Caenorhabditis elegans: one gene and its partner. The protein of the gene in region 1 purifies or fractionates together with the protein of each later gene. This does not show direct contact. Each region holds a gene or a part of one and is shown on either strand. Other genes may lie near its edges.

Region 1 (8,563 bases):
AAATACCGTATTCCAACCAACAATTTGTGCAATAGAGCACATTTGTCACCGGAGATGCGGAAGCTATGCCCAAATTTTCATTTTTCCGGTGGAAAATAAACTGGTGAAATCCGGTGACAAATTTGGAATTTGTGCGATTTTAGTTAATCTGGTGTTAATATTCGCTACATTTTGTTTAAAAGTTTTCGAAAATTCATAGGCTTCAGGGGGTTAAAAACTAGCTAGTTTAGGCTGAAAACTGTCCAAATTTGAATTTTACAAATTTTGATGAAAATATGTCAAATTAGGCGAAAATTAGCAGAAAATTCGGAAAATAACTAGATTTTCAAAGTCAAAATTTAACTTTTTTTTTGCATTTTCCAGAGTGCTTCTCCCATCTAAAAATGCCACGTTTCTGCCGTCGTGTACAGGAAGCTTCAAATGCATCCTGTCTTCACATGCTTCTAGCCTATTTTGATGCCCGAATCGACCAACAACGTACACTTCCAGAACTTTCATGTCAAGTGTGCCGCCGGAAGACTGGAACCGAGAGGAAGCTGATGTGTAAGCAGTGTTCTACAGTATTCCATTACGGTTGTCATCGTCCAACGATTAGTCGAGCTCTTTTCGAAGAGGAAGGCTTCAAGGAGGGATGGTGGTGTGCAAAGTGTACTAAGGAAGATCGTAGAAGGCAACTATCGGAAGCTAAGGAGGATCTTCGACAGAAGGAAGAAGGTGGAGGGGATGAAGAAGATCATCATGGAAGTGGTGAATCTGACGATGAGGATGAGGAGGATATTGTTGAAGAAGAGACTCGAGGAAGATCTGCTAAACGAAAGGCCAACGCTGCAATGCGAGATGTGCTTGAATTTGAGGGAGTGCTGAGGCAGACGCCTGCCCCGCCACCGCCGAAGCGGCAGAAGACCGTTGTTGTGCCGGTAAGGGTGAAAATTGGATGGAAATTCTGGCGAAAAACTGGGTTTTACTGGATTTTTTCCCAAAAAAATTGGAAAAATTATGGATTTTAGAAAAACAAAGGAAAAAACGGAAAATATAGAACTTTCGACAACTTTTTTCCGAAAAAAATTGATTGAACAATTTAGGACTTTTCCGACTTTTTATGGAAAAAAATTCAAAAAATTATGGTTCTTTTCCGATTTTTACGAATATATTGGAAATTTTTTGGATTTTGGAAAAACAAAGGAAAAAACGGAAAATATAGGATTTTCGACTTTTTTTTTCCGAAAAAAGTCAATTTTTGGTTCTTTCCTTTTTTTTCAGGAAAAAATTGGAAAATTTCTGGGTTTTCCCGACTTTTTATGAAAAAAATTCAAAAATTTTGGATTTTTCAGTTTTTTTCCGGAGAAAGAGCAAAAATTTGGGGTTTGCCGGATTTTTTCCGACGAAAATTGGAAAAATTATGGATTTTTCCGATTTTTTCCGAAAAAAACGGAACATTTTAGGTCTTTTCCGACTTTTTATGGAAAAAAAATTCAAAAAATTATGGTTCTTTTCCGATTTTTACGAATATATTGGAAAATTTCTGGATTTTTCGATTTTTTTTTCCGGAAAAATTGACCAATTTTTAGTTTTTTCACCCTCTTTTCCAGAGAAAAATTGGAAAAAAAACTGATTTGCTACCGAAGAAATTGAAAAAATTATGGATTTTTCGACTTTTTTTCAGAAAAAATTGGAATATTTTTGAATTTTGGAAGATTCGTCTAAAATTAGAAATTTTTCGAAAATATCTATTCCCAAATTTTCCATTTGTTGAGCAAAATTTTGTGAGTTTTGCGAAAAACTGGGTTTTACTGGATTTTTTCCCAAAAAAATTGGAAAAATTATGGATTTTAGAAAAACAAAGGAAAAAACGACGGAAAATATAGAATTTTCGACTTTTTTCCGAAAAAAAATTGAACAATTTTTGGTTCTTTCCATTTTTCTTTTCCGGAAAAAAGGTCAATTTTTGGGTTTTCTAACTGTTTTACCAAAAAATTGGAAATTTTTTGATTTTGGAAAAACAAATGAAAAAACGGAAAATATAGGATTTTAGACTTAAAAAAAATCAATTTTTGGTTCTTTCCATTTTTTTTTTTGCCGGAAAAAATTGGAAAATTTCTGAGTTTTCCCGACTTTTTATGAAAAAAATTCAAAAATTTTGGATTTTTCAGTTTTTTTCCGGAAATATTAAACAATTTTTTTTCTCACCCTTTTTTTCAGAGAAAAATTGGCAAAAAAAAACTGATTTGTTACGGAAGAAATTGACAAAAAATAGATTTTTCGACTTTATTTCCGGAAAAAATTGAAAATGTTTGGATTTTTTGGAAGATTCGTCTAAAATTAGAAATTTTCAGCCAATAAAATTTAGACAATTTCTCGAAAATATATGTATTTCCAAATGTTCCTTTTTTTTGAGCAAAAACTTGTGAATTTTCATTCAATTTGTCCAGAAAATCAATTTTTCCGTAATTTTTCCGCTACTTTGAAAAAAAATTAGGTCTAACAAAAACCTACAGTAACCCACAGGTTTTCGTGGCGGGACCCAATTTTTTAGACATTGCGCAAAGTAGGACAAAGTTATACTGAACTAAATTTCCCTGTATATTGTCTGTGACTTGTGTGTTTCTCTATCCGAATTGATGGTTTGAATAGTGGTATTCTCGGCTGAAACATGCAATAAATACCGTATTCCAACTAACAATTTGTGCAATAGAGCACATTTGTCACCGGGGATGCGGAAGCTATGCCCAATTTTTCAATTTTTTGTTAAAAACTTGAGAATTTTTCCAGAAAATCAATTTTTCCAAATTTTCAGGAAGTGCTGGAGCTGTTCAACTCGATCGAACGTGCCAATCCTCGACTCTACAAGACCCTGCAACAAATTCCCGGCCAATCCCGTTCGACACGTAACGCTCAACACGAGAATCGCTCTCTGCCGGATATTGAGCAAGATTTGGACGTTTACACGTCTGCCGAGCAGCTTCACGAGCATTTGAGCCAATTCTTCCGTCATGCACGTGGATACATTGAGACTCATAACCCAAGAAAGTTGGATGATCTTGATGAGCTCATTTCTGAACTCAATTTTATGTGATTTATTTCGGAATACACTGAAAAATCTTCTTTTTTTTTTGAAAGTGTATCATTTTTATTGTGAAAAGTGTCCTAAAATGCAGTTGAAATGTTGAAAAATCGGTTTTTTAAATTAAAAATTTAAATTTTCGGAATTTTTTCCCAAAAAAATTGAATATTTTAAATTTTCCGATTTTTTTTCCAAAAAATTCGAATTTTTCAAATAAAAATTTCCAAAAATATGAATTTAATTTTTTTTTTGAAAAAATTCGAAATTTTTCGACTTTTATTTGCAAATTTGGAGATTTTTCCAGTTTTCGCAGAATTTTTTGATATTTTTTCTACATTTTTTACTTTTTTCCCTATTTTCTCACTATTTAATCCCAAAAAAAACTATCAATTTCTTATTTTTCTCACTTTTTCACAGATTCTCCAAATTTTCCTGTCCCTTTAAGATTTTTTTTCACCCCCCGGCAACGAGTTTTGGCATTTTTTTGAAATTTTTCATCATGGCATTCGATCATTTTATCTAATTTATTGTAATTTTTTGGGTGAGAACCCCCTCATTTTTCGATTGTAAAACGTTGAAATAAAGTTGGCACACGTAATAATGAAGTTACAGTAATCCAGCGGTGGGTCTCGAGTGGAAAACTTGGAAATTTTGAAATTTCCGGTTATTTTTTGCTGGAAATTGTAGGTTTTCAATGGAAAGAATTCAATTTGAAGTGAATTTCACAAAGAATTCGAAAACATGGAAAATACACAAATTCCGGAAATTTTCTGGGTCTCGAGTGTAAAACTTCAAAAATTTGAATTTCCAGGTTAATTTCGCTGATAAAGACAACTTTTCTGGTGAGAAACTCGCGACTTAGGATGAAAATTGTGGTAAATATTCAACAATTTTGGAATTTTTTGGGTCTCGAGTGGAAAATACAAAAATAATTAGATTTTTCGATTATTTTATTCTAAACATTGTGTTATAATCGTTTAAACAAACCATTTGCTTAATTTTAACGACAATTTTCGTTAAAAATATCTAAATTAAGCTTGAAAACATTTTTTTTTAACAGAAAAAACATTTGCGCGTCAATTAAAGTGTATTGTATGCAATGCGTACTTTTTCGCTTACCGTAGTTAGCACATATTTAAATAGACATTCAATTTGAATTATTCGTGAAATTCATTTGTTTGGTATAATCTATCTGATTTCAAATCTTGCTTAAACTTTCGGATTCGGCTGAAAATCCCCCGAAAATCCCCTGAAAATCGGTTAAAACCAAAACAATGCAAGTGCGCTCCATCGCACCACCGAGAGAGCACGCATTCCGTGGAGTGCGCGAGATGACGAGAGAGACGGAACCGGTTTCTTTGTTCGTTTTTGCCGATTTTGCGCCGTTTTTCATGAATTTTCCAGTTTTTTTCGCTGAAAATCAGCTAATTTATCGATTTTCTCACCATTTTTACCCTAAAAATCTTGAAAATCCACCTAAAAAGCACAGAAAACCTGGAATCTTGAAAATTTTCAGAATGGAGCCGGATATTGAGCCATGGGACCGGTTTCGCGACTGGCTTCACTGCATTTGTGTGGTCACGTTTGATTTGGAGCTTGGACAGGCGTTGGAAGTGAGGATTTGCAGAAAAACTGAAAAAAAAATGCAGAAAAATCAAAAAATCCCGGATTTTCTGACTTTTCGCTGCGAGACCCGGAAATTTTCGCATTTTTTAAAATGATTAATGTGATTATACTCAAATCAAAGCTCTCGACGAGCTGAGCACGATTTTGACAAAAAAAAAATCTGGTTTTTTCAGGTAATCTACCCAGGAGACGCAATTCTATCGAACACTGAAAAAATCAATATCTGCTATTTGGCATTTCCAGACTCGAATTCCAGTAATGCACGAGACACAAATTTTCATTTCAGGATACGCAGGTGATTTTTTGAGATTAAAAATTTCGGAAAAAAATATTTTTTTTTCAAATTTTGAGAAAAAATTTTTTTGGCTGAAATCTGAAAATTTGCGAGTGATTTCCGTGTTCAGCTCACCGAGAGCTTTGATTTAAGTATAATTATGACCTACTTTGCTGAATTTTGAAGAAAATTGGGTTTTCGTGGCGGGACCCAACTTTTTTCAAATTTCAGCAAACTAGGTCATGTTTATACTCATTTTGAAGCTTTAAGTGAGCTGAATTCAATGCAAATACTCAAAATTAAAAATTTTCAGAGCAATCAGTGACGTCAGAGACTGCCAAAAGTCGTTTGTCGACAAATCTCCGACGTCTCTACCCTTTGATACACACTATTTATACGGTTTTGTGCATTTTCGGCAATGCAAAGACCCGACAATTCATCGAGGATATTATCAGAAGGTTCATAACCGGAACGCAATAAAATTGGCGAAAATTTGAGTGAAAATTCGAGTTTTTCCCCGCTAAAATTCACTTTTTTCCGGAAAAATGGAACAATTTTTAGTATTTTCCCCTTTTTTTTGGAAAAAACGGAATTTTTTAAATGTTCGTCTTTTGCCAAAAAAAGGGTAAAACTATGGATTGTCGGCTTTTTTTCCAGAAAAATGGAAAATTTTAGGCTTTTCAATTTTTTAAAAAGGAAATTCGACAAATTGTCACAATTTTATGACCTTTCCCAGAAAAATTGGAATTATTAAGCTTTTAAGACGTTTTTTTCAGTTTTACTGGCATTTTCTTATTAATCTAGATGAGAGCTTCAATTTAAGTATAAATATGGCGTATTTTACGCAAATTTTAAACAAAATTGGGTCTCGTCACAAAATTCTACAGTAACCCACAGGTTTTCGTGGTGGGACCCAATTTTTTCAGACTTTGCGCAAAGTAGGTCAAAGTTATACGGTAACTCGAAAACAATATTGTCTGTGACTTGTGTGTTTTTCTATCCGAATTGATGGTTTGAATAGTGGTATTCTCGGCTGAAATATGCAATAAATACCGTTTTCCAACCAACAATTCGGTGCAATAGAGCACATTTGTCACCGGGGATGCGGAAGCTATGCCCAAATTTTCATTTAGCGCGGAAATTTGGCTGTTTTCGGGTGTAAAGTAGAAAATTTGGAAATTTCGACATTAAAATTTATTATAAAATTTGAAAAAAAAACCCATAAAAACCCTTTTTTCTGACAATTTTCTGTTTTTTTTAAATCCCAGTTTCCGAGGAAAGCTATAAATTTGGGTACGGTAACTCGGAATTTATGATGTTTTTTTTTTAAGCTGTAAAAACTGAAAAATTCTGCTCAATTTCCAATTTTTTGTTGAAAACCTAGTGGTTTCTTGGATTGTTCTAATTTTTAATCAAAATCCTGCTGAAAATTAGAATTTTTAGCTTTTCCGCTTGTTTTTCGGAATTTTTTGTGGCTTTTTCCAGGTAAAAAATCCGTTTTTTACGGAAAAAACGGCAAATTTTTGAATTTTTCGATGTTTTTCCCATGAAAATCAAAAAATTTGTATTTTTTGTTTTTTTTATAGGAAATTCGAATAGTTTTTTTTTTCGTGGCGAGACCCAACTTTTTCAGACTTTGCGCAAAGTAGGTCAAAATTGAACGGCAACTGAACTGAATTTCCCTATATATTGTCTGTGACTTGTGTGTTTCTCTATCCGAATTGATGGTTTGAATAGTGGTATTCTCGGCTGAAATATGCAATAAATACCGTATTCCAACCAACAATTTGTGCAATAGAGCACATTTGTCACTAGAGATGCGGAAGCTATGCCCAAATTTTCCATTTCTCAGCCTGAAAACTTGGCTGAAAATCCATTCCTTTTTTTTTTTAGCTAATTTTCTATTTCCAGAGCATCGTCCTAATGTCAGTGCTCCCACTGTTTTCCTTGTTCTACTCAGTTACCGCCCGCATCGCTGAGCATTTTTTTGAAAGTGGAGAAGCAGCAATTGAAGCAGGTAGCCGCCACCTGAAATTGGAAAAAAAAACTAAAATTTTCTGAAATTTTCCAGCCTGCCATCACATTGACACGTGGCAACAGCCGCACGCTGGTCGGACTATTGAGTTACCGTTGCTCGGTACTTTAATCAGTTGCCGCCTACCGGCCGCCTGTGATCTACCATATGAATTCCGGCTTGATGGACATGTTGAGGTAGCTAAAATTGGAAAAAATTGGAAAAAAAAAACTCGAAAAATTGAACATTTTTGGTCTGAAAAAATGTCCGGAATCTATCAGAAAATTGAAATAAATAGAGAATTGTGAAATTTTTAGCCGAAAAATTCTTATTTCTAGATATTTTTTGAAGAATATTCCAATGATGTTCCAGAATCTTTGAATTTTTTTTTAAATTTAAGAAAATCACAAAAATTTCAGAATTTTAATTCTATAAGTTTTCGAAAAAGAAAATTTCTTCAAAAAATCAGAAAATATGCTGAAAATTAACGAAAAATTGGAGATAATTTATTACAAAAATTTTCAGAAATTAAAAAAACAAAACTGAAAAATCTAAAATATTATCCAAAAAGAAGTGTATTATAAATTCACTAAAAATCTCAAAAAATCCAAAATTTATCAGAAAATTTAGAGAAATTCACTAGAAATTGCGTAAATTTCTGAAAATTCGAAATATTATCAAAATTTGGACAAAAAAATCGCAAAAACCCCCAAAACTATCGGGCAATTGTGAAAATTTCAGAAAAAAAACTCAAAAATTTAAGAGCTTTAATTCTAGAAATTTTCGAAAAATTCCAAAAAAATCACAAAATTTTTCAAAAAATTAAAAAAAAAATTTGAAATCTCGAGAAATCCAAAATTTTTCAGAAAATTTTCAAAAATTTTTTGAAAAAATTTGAGAAAATCCTTCAAAAACCTATAATTTTATTAGTTTCCTAAACTTTTTTCAAAAAGTCTTTAAAAATCCCCATATTTTTTGTTGTTGTAAAACACCGAAAATTCTAGAAGTTTTTTGCAAAAAAAATCAGACAAAAGCTCAAAATTAACGAAAATTTTAGAAAATCTTTGAAAATTCCAGAAATGTTTAGAGTTTTCTAAAATTATTTCGAAAAATCTCAGAAATTCTCTAAAAAAATCCACAATATCGAAAATCGAAAAATCTTCAGCAAAATTTTTGTAGTGTAATGTGTCAAAAATTTTCAAAACTCGTATTAAAATACAAAAAAAAAATCGATTTTCCCACAATTTTTCCCTCCAAAACCACTCAAATTTTTGCTACTATTTCAGCTATCAGACGATGATTCTCAACGCCTTGTCCGTCCAGATTTCACTACATCAATTGTACAGCACGTCCATCATTTGCCACTGCTCTGGGAGCTTGTACTGCTCGGCGAGCCCCTTCTCATCGTTGCTCCGACGCCATCCATCACTTCTGCTTTAGTTCAGTCAATCGTTGGATTACTGTCACCTCTGAGGATTGTCAACGATTTTCGACCGTATTTTACGATTCATGATTCGGAATTTCGAGAATATTCGTCGAAAAGTCGATCGCCGTTAGTTTTTATGCTGAAAATCCTTTTTTGATTTTT
Region 2 (8,391 bases), on another chromosome or scaffold:
AACAGTGTTACGGTACAATAATATTTTTTAGTTTTAAAATTCGTAAATTTATTATAGTTATAGAAATTATGCAATGATAAATTGCAGGTCTTCCAAAAACTGGAAACCCAATGGAAAGGAGTAACAATCCGTTACATTCCATTTTTCCTCGGAGCCGTCATGAAAGAATCAGGAAATCGTCCTCCAGCAATGCTCCCAGCTCGATCAATTATGATGATGACTGATTTGAAGCGAACTGCAAAGTTCTGGGATATTCCATTGACTCCACCACCATTGTTCATGGAATGGATCAAAAAGTACCGTACTACTGGAGCAATGAAGGTTTTGTTGGTTTTGCAGGAGCAGGATAAGGAGCTGATGCTCCGAGCAGCTCGGGAAATGTGGGTCAGATTGTGGTCTCGAAGTGAGAAGATTTTTGAGGATCAAGACTTTGTGGAAGTATTGAAGGCAGTTGGTGTTAAGAATCCGGAGCAAATTGTGGAAAAGAGCAAGGATGAGAAATATATAAAGATTTTGATGGAGAATACGAATAAGGGAGTTGATTTGATGGTAAGTTATTCATCTTTGAATTAAAAAAAATTGGCAATTTTACTTTTTCAGGCATATGGTGCTCCATGGATCAATGTGCACACAGAAGATGGATCGGAGCATTCATTCTTTGGATCAGACCGTTTCCATTTGATTGCCGACCTTCTTCAACAGCCACAACCGCTTCCAGACCGACTTTTTGGCCAGAAATCAAAACTTTAAATATTTGTTGTAAGATAAGATGCGCTAAATATATGAATAAATTGGGTAAATATTTTTAATTAACTCTCTCTGAAACAGTCTGACAATCGACATAATCATAGATTCAAAAACTACAAAGAAAAATTCCAAAAAGATTTGAATCTAAAATCTTTTAGTTGGCTGCACTCTAGGTTACTTTTCAATTTTACGAACTGTAAAATATTCCAGAAAATTAATTATATGTTCAAAGTTTTATTCAAATTACATCTGCACTGTTAGTTGTGGGAAAAACCCAAAAAATCACAAATCAGTTGGCCTTGATCAATCCGGCGAACACTTGATACAAACCCCAGGTTCCATCCGGCATTTGCTGAAAGTAGAAAAGCTTTATCTACTTTAGATAATAAAAGTGTACCTTTTGGGCAAACTTCTCGCAGTAGTTCATATCTTGCTTGACATTGTCGGTTCCAATGACGCTTGGTGGAACTCCCATCTTAAATGGATAGGGTTAAAGTTCGGATTTGAATTTTTGGATTTTATCAGCAGTGAGCCAATTCTGATTCTGATATGACTTACATCATAGATGACATAAGCCCATCCTGGCTTATTGATATAGAAGTTGAGAGCCTCTGACATGGTTTCGATGTCATTGTAAGTCTTAACAACCGTATCGATTGTTGCAGAAACAGTGTCGTCGATGCAGAAATCTGAAAACAAATGAATTTCAGGTTTACTCTAGAAAAAGAGGAGCTCACTGAAATCATCATCATCGCGCTTGGTTGGAGTGCCGCTGATCAGCTCAGCATGAACCTTGACTCCAGATTTACGGGTGTAGTGACGGCGAACATTGTAGGTTGCTGAAATATATGAAAATGAGTTAGATAAAGTTCCACATATTTTATTTCAATTATATTTTTCAAAACTAGGAAGTGGCTTTCAATATTTTTTGAACGCTAACTTACGAACTGCAGTTGACTGATTGGCAAATTGGAAACGTGCAGCAACCTTGACGGATTTGCGGTCAGCACAGTGAGTGATGCACCAATTTGGTCTGAAAAGTAGAAATGGATTTTTTCATCTGGATTTGAATAATTAAATTTAAAATTATTGATTAAAAGGATAAAACAATTCTAGATCAGACACTCTGACTTTACATGAATTCTTAATTTAATCTTGAAAAGGAATATACTAACCTCACAAAATCCAATCCAGAGGATCGGAAATCTTGAATTGGAACTGCATCCTGTGTGGATTCATCTCCAACTGGAGTATAATTGCACAAATTTCCTCCTGGAGCAGAAGTTTGTTGAGCAAAAATTGCTGGAACTGCTAAGCAGGCAAGGAGAAGAAGCTTCATTTTCCTAAAAACTCTCGATAAAAATGAAAAGGAAACTATACTCAAAAACGTTTCAAAGCGAGTAGCAAATGGTCAAATTATCGGAAGTTATCAGTTAAAAACTGAAATTTTCCACATCACCGGCCTCCTCTTTTGCCAGTTGAATGTGTTGATAACGGAAAATAAAGAGTGGAAAATTAAATATTGAAAAATCACTAATGATTTCATTTTGAGAATAATAAGAATCAAATATTCAATGTAAAACTTTAAATAGTTAAATCGTTTATTAAAAATTAAAAGAAAAAAATCAATTAGCCTTGATAAGTCCTGCGAATACTTGATATGTCATGTAGGTTCCATCCGGCATTTGCTGAAAAATTTGTAAAATTTGGTGAGGTCTAATTTCTAATTCGGATACTTGCAGGTCTGGTTTTGTTGCATTTTACAACATTTTCTGAGTACTTACCTTGTTAGAAGACTTCTCACAGTAGTTCATATCGTGTTTGACATTGTCAGTCTCAATGATGCTTGGTGGTACTCCCATCTGAATATATGTATTCAAGTAGAAATAGTAGACACCTATATATTTTCCAAAAAAAAACTTGTGTAACTTACATCGTAAATAATATACGCCCATCCTGGCTTGTTGATATAGAAGTTGAGGGCTTCTGACATGGTTTCGATGTCATTGTAGGTGTTGACAATAGTATCAATCTGGGCCGACACAGCATCGTCCATACAGAAGTCTGAAATTTTGACATGTATTTATACCATAAGATGAAATCACTTACTAAAAGGATCATCGTCACGCTTGGTCGGGTTTCCGCTGATCAGCTCAGCATGAACCTTCATTCCTGAATAACGGGTGAAAGTACGGCGAACTTTGTAGGTTGCTGAAAATTCCCATTAAATTCTAGGATGTTTACTGGTATTTTCATAATGTTCCAAATGTTTTTACATGTACTTTAGTGTACTGATCTATGTTAACTTACGGACTGCAGTTGACTGATTGGCAAATTGGAAGCGAACAGCAGCTTTGACAGATTTGCGGTCAGCACAGTGGGTGATGCACCAATTTGGTCTGAAACTTTTTAAATTAAGATATTCGGCTATTTATGTGGTTCAAAAATTGGTAATCGTTTAGTATCCCACTGTTGCCAAAGTATTTTTCTGGGTCTAACTAGTAAGACCATCAAGAGTTGGCTCAACATAACTTGGCCGCGGCCTAAACCAATCATTACTAAAGCTGTTCCAATTTTTGAACATAAACTGACCTAACGAAATCTAATCCAGACGTTCTGAAGTCCTGAATAGGAACAGCCTTTTGGTTTGATTCATCTCCTTGTGGAGGATAAGTACACAAATTTCCACCTGGAGCAGACGTCTGTTGAGCTAAGATTGCAGGAACTGCCAAACAAGCAATAAGAAGAAACTTCATTCTCCTGAAAATATAAATATATGCTTCAAAAAATTTAAGTAGCAAATGGTCAAATTAGTATGAATTGTGGAGAGAGTTATCAGTCTAAAACTGACGTTTTTTAAATTATGAGCGTTTTCTTTTGACATTCAGTTATAGTGATAAGAATATTAAATAGAAAAATGGGAAAGCACTAATGATATCACTGGAAAAGTTAAAGGACAAGTTGTTTACAGATAAGTTTATGAGCATTGATTCCGGGGAGCCAGCAGCTTAACAAAACTGATTTCTTGATCCAATATTGCTCACAATCAGATGATTCAAAAGTTTATGCGAGTAAAATTAGTAGAAATACCAAATTAGTCTGATATGTTTTTCAAAATTGTTCTTCAATTAAAGGATAGACGAGTTTCTCAGAAAATAGGCTGAACATTTTCAGACTCTAAAAAGCAAGAAAGTTTTATTTGAAAGCTTTTTCGATGACTAAAATACAAACAAAGAGGGTCGAAAATTATTGAGTTCATATCCTTTGCTTCAAATGCATCCAAACAGTTTCCGGTTGAGTCGTGGCTCTTCCAACTAATTTCAATGGGATTTCTGTCTTGGTGCCAACTTCAAATGTATATTTTCTAAGAATATGAGCCAAGAGCATCTTTTCCTCCATATAAGCCAATCGCATTCCAACGCACTGACGAGGTCCTAATCCGAATGAAATATATCCTCCTTTTTGGAAAACTTGGTCACAGTTGGGGTCAAGCCATCTGAAATAATAACTAGTAGGATCTCTTACTAAATAATTTAAAAGGTGGAATACTCTCCAAAGTGATTCGCTTTTTAAAACTTTCAAAAATTAAGCCAATAATACATCTGAATATATTTTTTAATTTTGAAAAAAAAACCTTTCTGGCTTGAACTCCTTCGCATCATCTCCCCAAATCTTTGTATCAGTATGAAGACTCCAAGTATCTACTTGAACCATTGTTCCAACTTCAACTTCTACATTTCCCAATTTAGTGGCTCTCATGCATCTCCGAGAGTTCGCCCTGGAATAATTGTTTTTTTATGTGAAGTATAAATTTAAAACTCCTACATTGTTCCCAAAGGGTACAAACGTAAAGTCTCTTTGATAATACAATCCATGTATTTTAGTTTTGAGAGATGATCAAATGAAATTGATGGTTCTATGCATTCTCGTTCTATTTCTTCTTGTAATTTCTTTTGAACTTCTGGATGTGTTGCTAGGAGAAATGTAGTATAGGATAAGGATAGAGCAGTTGTATCGAAGCCAGCAATCAAAAAAACGAGACACTGACCGACTATTTCTTGAGTTGTTAGTTGACGGTTTCCCTGCAATTTTTTAAATTCAGGAATAATTTTTCTCCTGAAACTCACATAGCTACTAGTCTTTGAAAAATCCCCATTATTCTCTTGAAAATGCTCCACATCATCTGCTCTTGCTTCCAAAAATAAATCGATAAAATCCTGTGGCTCTCCGATTTCAATTCCATTTTTTCTATCATTCTCCCTCTGATCTATACGATTTTGAACGGCTGTCACAACAGTTTTGTTGACGTGAATGAAATTGGCTGCTCCCAACAATGGAAATTTCAACATAAAAAATCGAAAAACTTGAGCAAGAGTAGGAAAAACTCCACCGATGAGGGGAATATGCTTTCGATTATCTCCGAATATCTGGAAATATATGTTGAATTTCACTGGTAATAGTACCAAAACGAACCGCTCTGACAAACTTCAAAAGTGGATTTTTGAACATTTGCGAGTCGGTCTGACCCATTGCAATTCGTCCTATAGTATCCATTGTGAACTCTTGGTAGAATCTGTAATTTAAAATTTAAATTACTTTTCCAATACATCGAAAACTCACTGTAACATATCAATTTGTTGTCCCTCCGAAGTTTGTTCTTCAATATGTCTCAATAATTCCATCGCACTGTCTTCCACAGTTACATTGATTTTTCTCAAACTGTTATTCGAAAAAGTAGGACTAGATATAGCTCTGAGCCTTTTCCATCTAAATCCTTGAGCCGAGAACAAGTTAGTTCTCTCGTCTTTTTCCGGATCACCTTGAATTGGATTCAGTTTTCTACCATAGAAGTTGTCATACTGCTCAACAAAAATTTGACGAACAATGTCGATATCAGAAACAATTAGAGTTTTAATGGTTCCTTCAGTGTATCCATATATTGGACCATAAAGTTTTGTCCAATCTCTGATTTGTAAGTATTGAGGATATTCTGATTTGAGAGTTTTTGGAAAACTTCCAACTAATGGATAACCTAGAGGTCCAGGGATACCACGCCGTCTCCAATATGTCCATATCCAGAGGTAGTAACTTAAATAAATATATTTAGCTTTGAGAAATAAATAAAAAATACCTGATAAAACCAATGAACAAAGTTGGAATAGCAAGTAAAATAACACTCATTTAGTTGTATTTTCTTGTAAACGAAGTCTGTATATTTTAAACAAATATTTCCAAAAATAAAATTTGTTTTTATATTTACAAGAAATCGGACACAAAAACGGCAACTATCTGACACACTTTTTGTGTCTCCGTCTCGACGATTTTGTGACTCCTTGCGCAGAATCAGTGAGTAATTGGATTACAATGATGATATCAAGACCACTAACTCTAGTCTATCCTGTAGCCAGTTTCTGGAGTTTGGTCTGCAGATTTGAAGAAATCACCGATTAACTTAATTTAGTTTAGCAACTCTGGAAGTAACATTGCCAGGCATTTTTGTGGGCAAGGCTTTGTGTCATATTGCGCAAGAAAGTCAAATCTAGTGGAAACCAGAAAAAATCAAGTATTTTTGATAAAATAACAAGCACATCTTACAATAAGTCAGCAAATTTTCAAACGTACTTTCATATGTATATAAAAATGTGGTTGAAATGACTAGATATTAATGTATTCCTAACCCGAAAGTTTTACCTAACCCTGCTGTTGATATTTAACACAAATTGTGCTCTGATCTGTTTCAATTATTTGATTAACTTTGCTATTTTGTTATGATAGATGGCCAATAACCAACTTTTTGTTATTCATTCACGAGATCTAGTCAGACATTTATATAGACATGTCTCACTATCATATGGTACAGGAATGTATAGACAGGAAAAACTTAAACTCAAAAAGATAACATTTATTAGAATTGCCGATGAACGAATAATTAAAATACATAGTATCTATATGTTGATCACCCAACAGATCCCATCGATGGTACCGAACTTTTAGGCCTCGTGTGGAACATCATCATACCCGAAGCTCCACCACTGCCCATTGAAGCTGTACTTTGCTTAGCTAGACTTCCGGAAGACGTAATTGAATTAGGATCTTTGGATATAGAAGCCATTCGACCTCCACTGGGAGGTCTTGGAGCACCTCCTCCGCCCATTCCCATCATTGCGAGGCTTGCAGCACCAGCGCCACCCTGAGAGGTATCCACGTCACTGAGAATTCCGATCATTTTCAAGTTGGCAATGATGGATTCTTGTGATTCTCGTGTTGCAATGACCTTGACTTTGGACTCTTTATGCAGATTTCTGGCTTTTCGACAGAGAATGAAGTTTCCGAAATAGTCGATTCGGAGATTTTTGTTGTTAGCGATTAGTGATAATGGGTAAACAATTGGAAGAAAGCATCGAGCATTGATGTACATCATATCAAGCGTGGAATCTTCTGAAAGAAGTTTAGTTTTCAGACTATTCTGATCTTTATTTCATATTAAACTCACCTAGATTTATAAATCTCTTGACAATTACATGCAAGATGAAGTCGGCCAAACAAGCGATGTACAGCATGATGTAGGAATTTTTGAAAAACGTCATTTGTCCACTGAGATTTTGGATCTAAAATTGATGTCAAATGTAAAACTAGAATATAAATCCTCAAAAAACTCACTTTCTGGTCATTTCTCATTCCACCGAGTAGGCAGGCACGAGTGTGAGAACCTTTTGCCGATTTGAACATGAGAACCGAGATCTGAAATTCAAAATAATAATTATAATATGTTTATTTAAGTTTTGTTGAAATTGCGTCACATGCGTGAGACTTTTTCTAAGGGAACTAAACATAGGATTTTTATTTTCTGTTGAATATATAAACTAGCCAAAACAGGATACTTACTATAATACATGGCAAAAACAATATTCCGTGATAGAAGTCGTAGTATACATTCGCGATGAGTGAACTTTTGATTGAAATTTCATCATTTGAAGATTGAAGAACTTCAAGTCCAGCAGCTTCTTTGAGTTGATCATCACTATTCAAATAGATTCCTCGAATAATCATCTCCATAATTACGGAGACCACTACTTCGATGACCTATAAAAGGTATTTAGTATTTGTATTTAATATTTATTGTAATAAAAATATTGATACCCACCCGGAAAACTGCCACATATCGAAACTTGGGACTTTCTCGAATCGTTGGACTCCGATTGTACGTTATCCGTTCAACAGTTGTCCAAAACACAGTGAGTGCTGGAATAGCACGGCTGACTGATAGAGTTGTCGAGAAGAAGGCTTCGGATTTTGTCGTGCGATTCACGTTGGCACCCCACATTGCAGCTGGAAAGGTTTATTTTAGAAAAATAATCAGAAATATTAGTTTCAAGGTTTAAAGATCAAAATATATCCGTATTATCATCAAAATTGTGAAATGCACATAGCAAACAAGTGTGCATACATATAATTGTGTACCTACGACAAGTGCGTGACCAACTCGGCGTTGTGAGCCAGCTTCTTGTCTTACTAGATAGGTTTTGCCAAAAAATATTAACACGGCTTTATCTTTGGCAAAATTTTGACAAAAGTTGAGGTTAGTAAAGGACACGTCTCAAGTATAATCTAACTTTTGCCAAACCTCGGACTACATTGGCAAGA

The links.
Region 2: the proteins of F53H1.3 (region 1) and ZK1320.3 fractionate together in Caenorhabditis elegans (co-fractionation; one large-scale study listed by BioGRID). This does not show direct contact.

The regions. Positions count from the first base shown.
Region 1 is NC_003282.8:1,324,585-1,333,147, forward strand, and holds the start of F53H1.3 (UDENN domain-containing protein), read left to right. Parts: upstream 1-4,577; 5' UTR 4,578-4,578; coding exon 4,579-4,674; intron 4,675-4,860; coding exon 4,861-4,982; intron 4,983-5,274; coding exon 5,275-5,419; intron 5,420-6,872; coding exon 6,873-6,978; intron 6,979-7,032; coding exon 7,033-7,172; intron 7,173-8,261; coding exon 8,262-8,527; intron 8,528-8,563. Other genes in the region: F53H1.4 (PHD-type domain-containing protein), read left to right, coding at 364-917, 2,795-3,073.
Region 2 is NC_003280.10:9,656,913-9,665,303, forward strand, and holds ZK1320.3 (uncharacterized protein), read right to left. Parts: upstream 3,508-8,391; 5' UTR 3,504-3,507; coding exon 3,340-3,503; intron 3,147-3,339; coding exon 3,058-3,146; intron 2,959-3,057; coding exon 2,857-2,958; intron 2,812-2,856; coding exon 2,681-2,811; intron 2,610-2,680; coding exon 2,532-2,609; intron 2,436-2,531; coding exon 2,373-2,435; 3' UTR 2,334-2,372; downstream 1-2,333. Other genes in the region: gstk-1 (Glutathione S-transferase kappa 1), read left to right, coding at 88-549, 601-750; ZK1320.2 (uncharacterized protein), read right to left, coding at 1,037-1,099, 1,145-1,222, 1,306-1,436, 1,485-1,586, 1,692-1,780, 1,923-2,086; cyp-13A10 (Putative cytochrome P450 CYP13A10), read right to left, coding at 4,003-4,243, 4,382-4,525, 4,573-4,829, 4,875-5,174, 5,221-5,320, 5,368-5,835, 5,879-5,928; ZK1320.5 (uncharacterized protein), read right to left, coding at 6,704-7,185, 7,241-7,355, 7,408-7,488, 7,633-7,830, 7,892-8,076.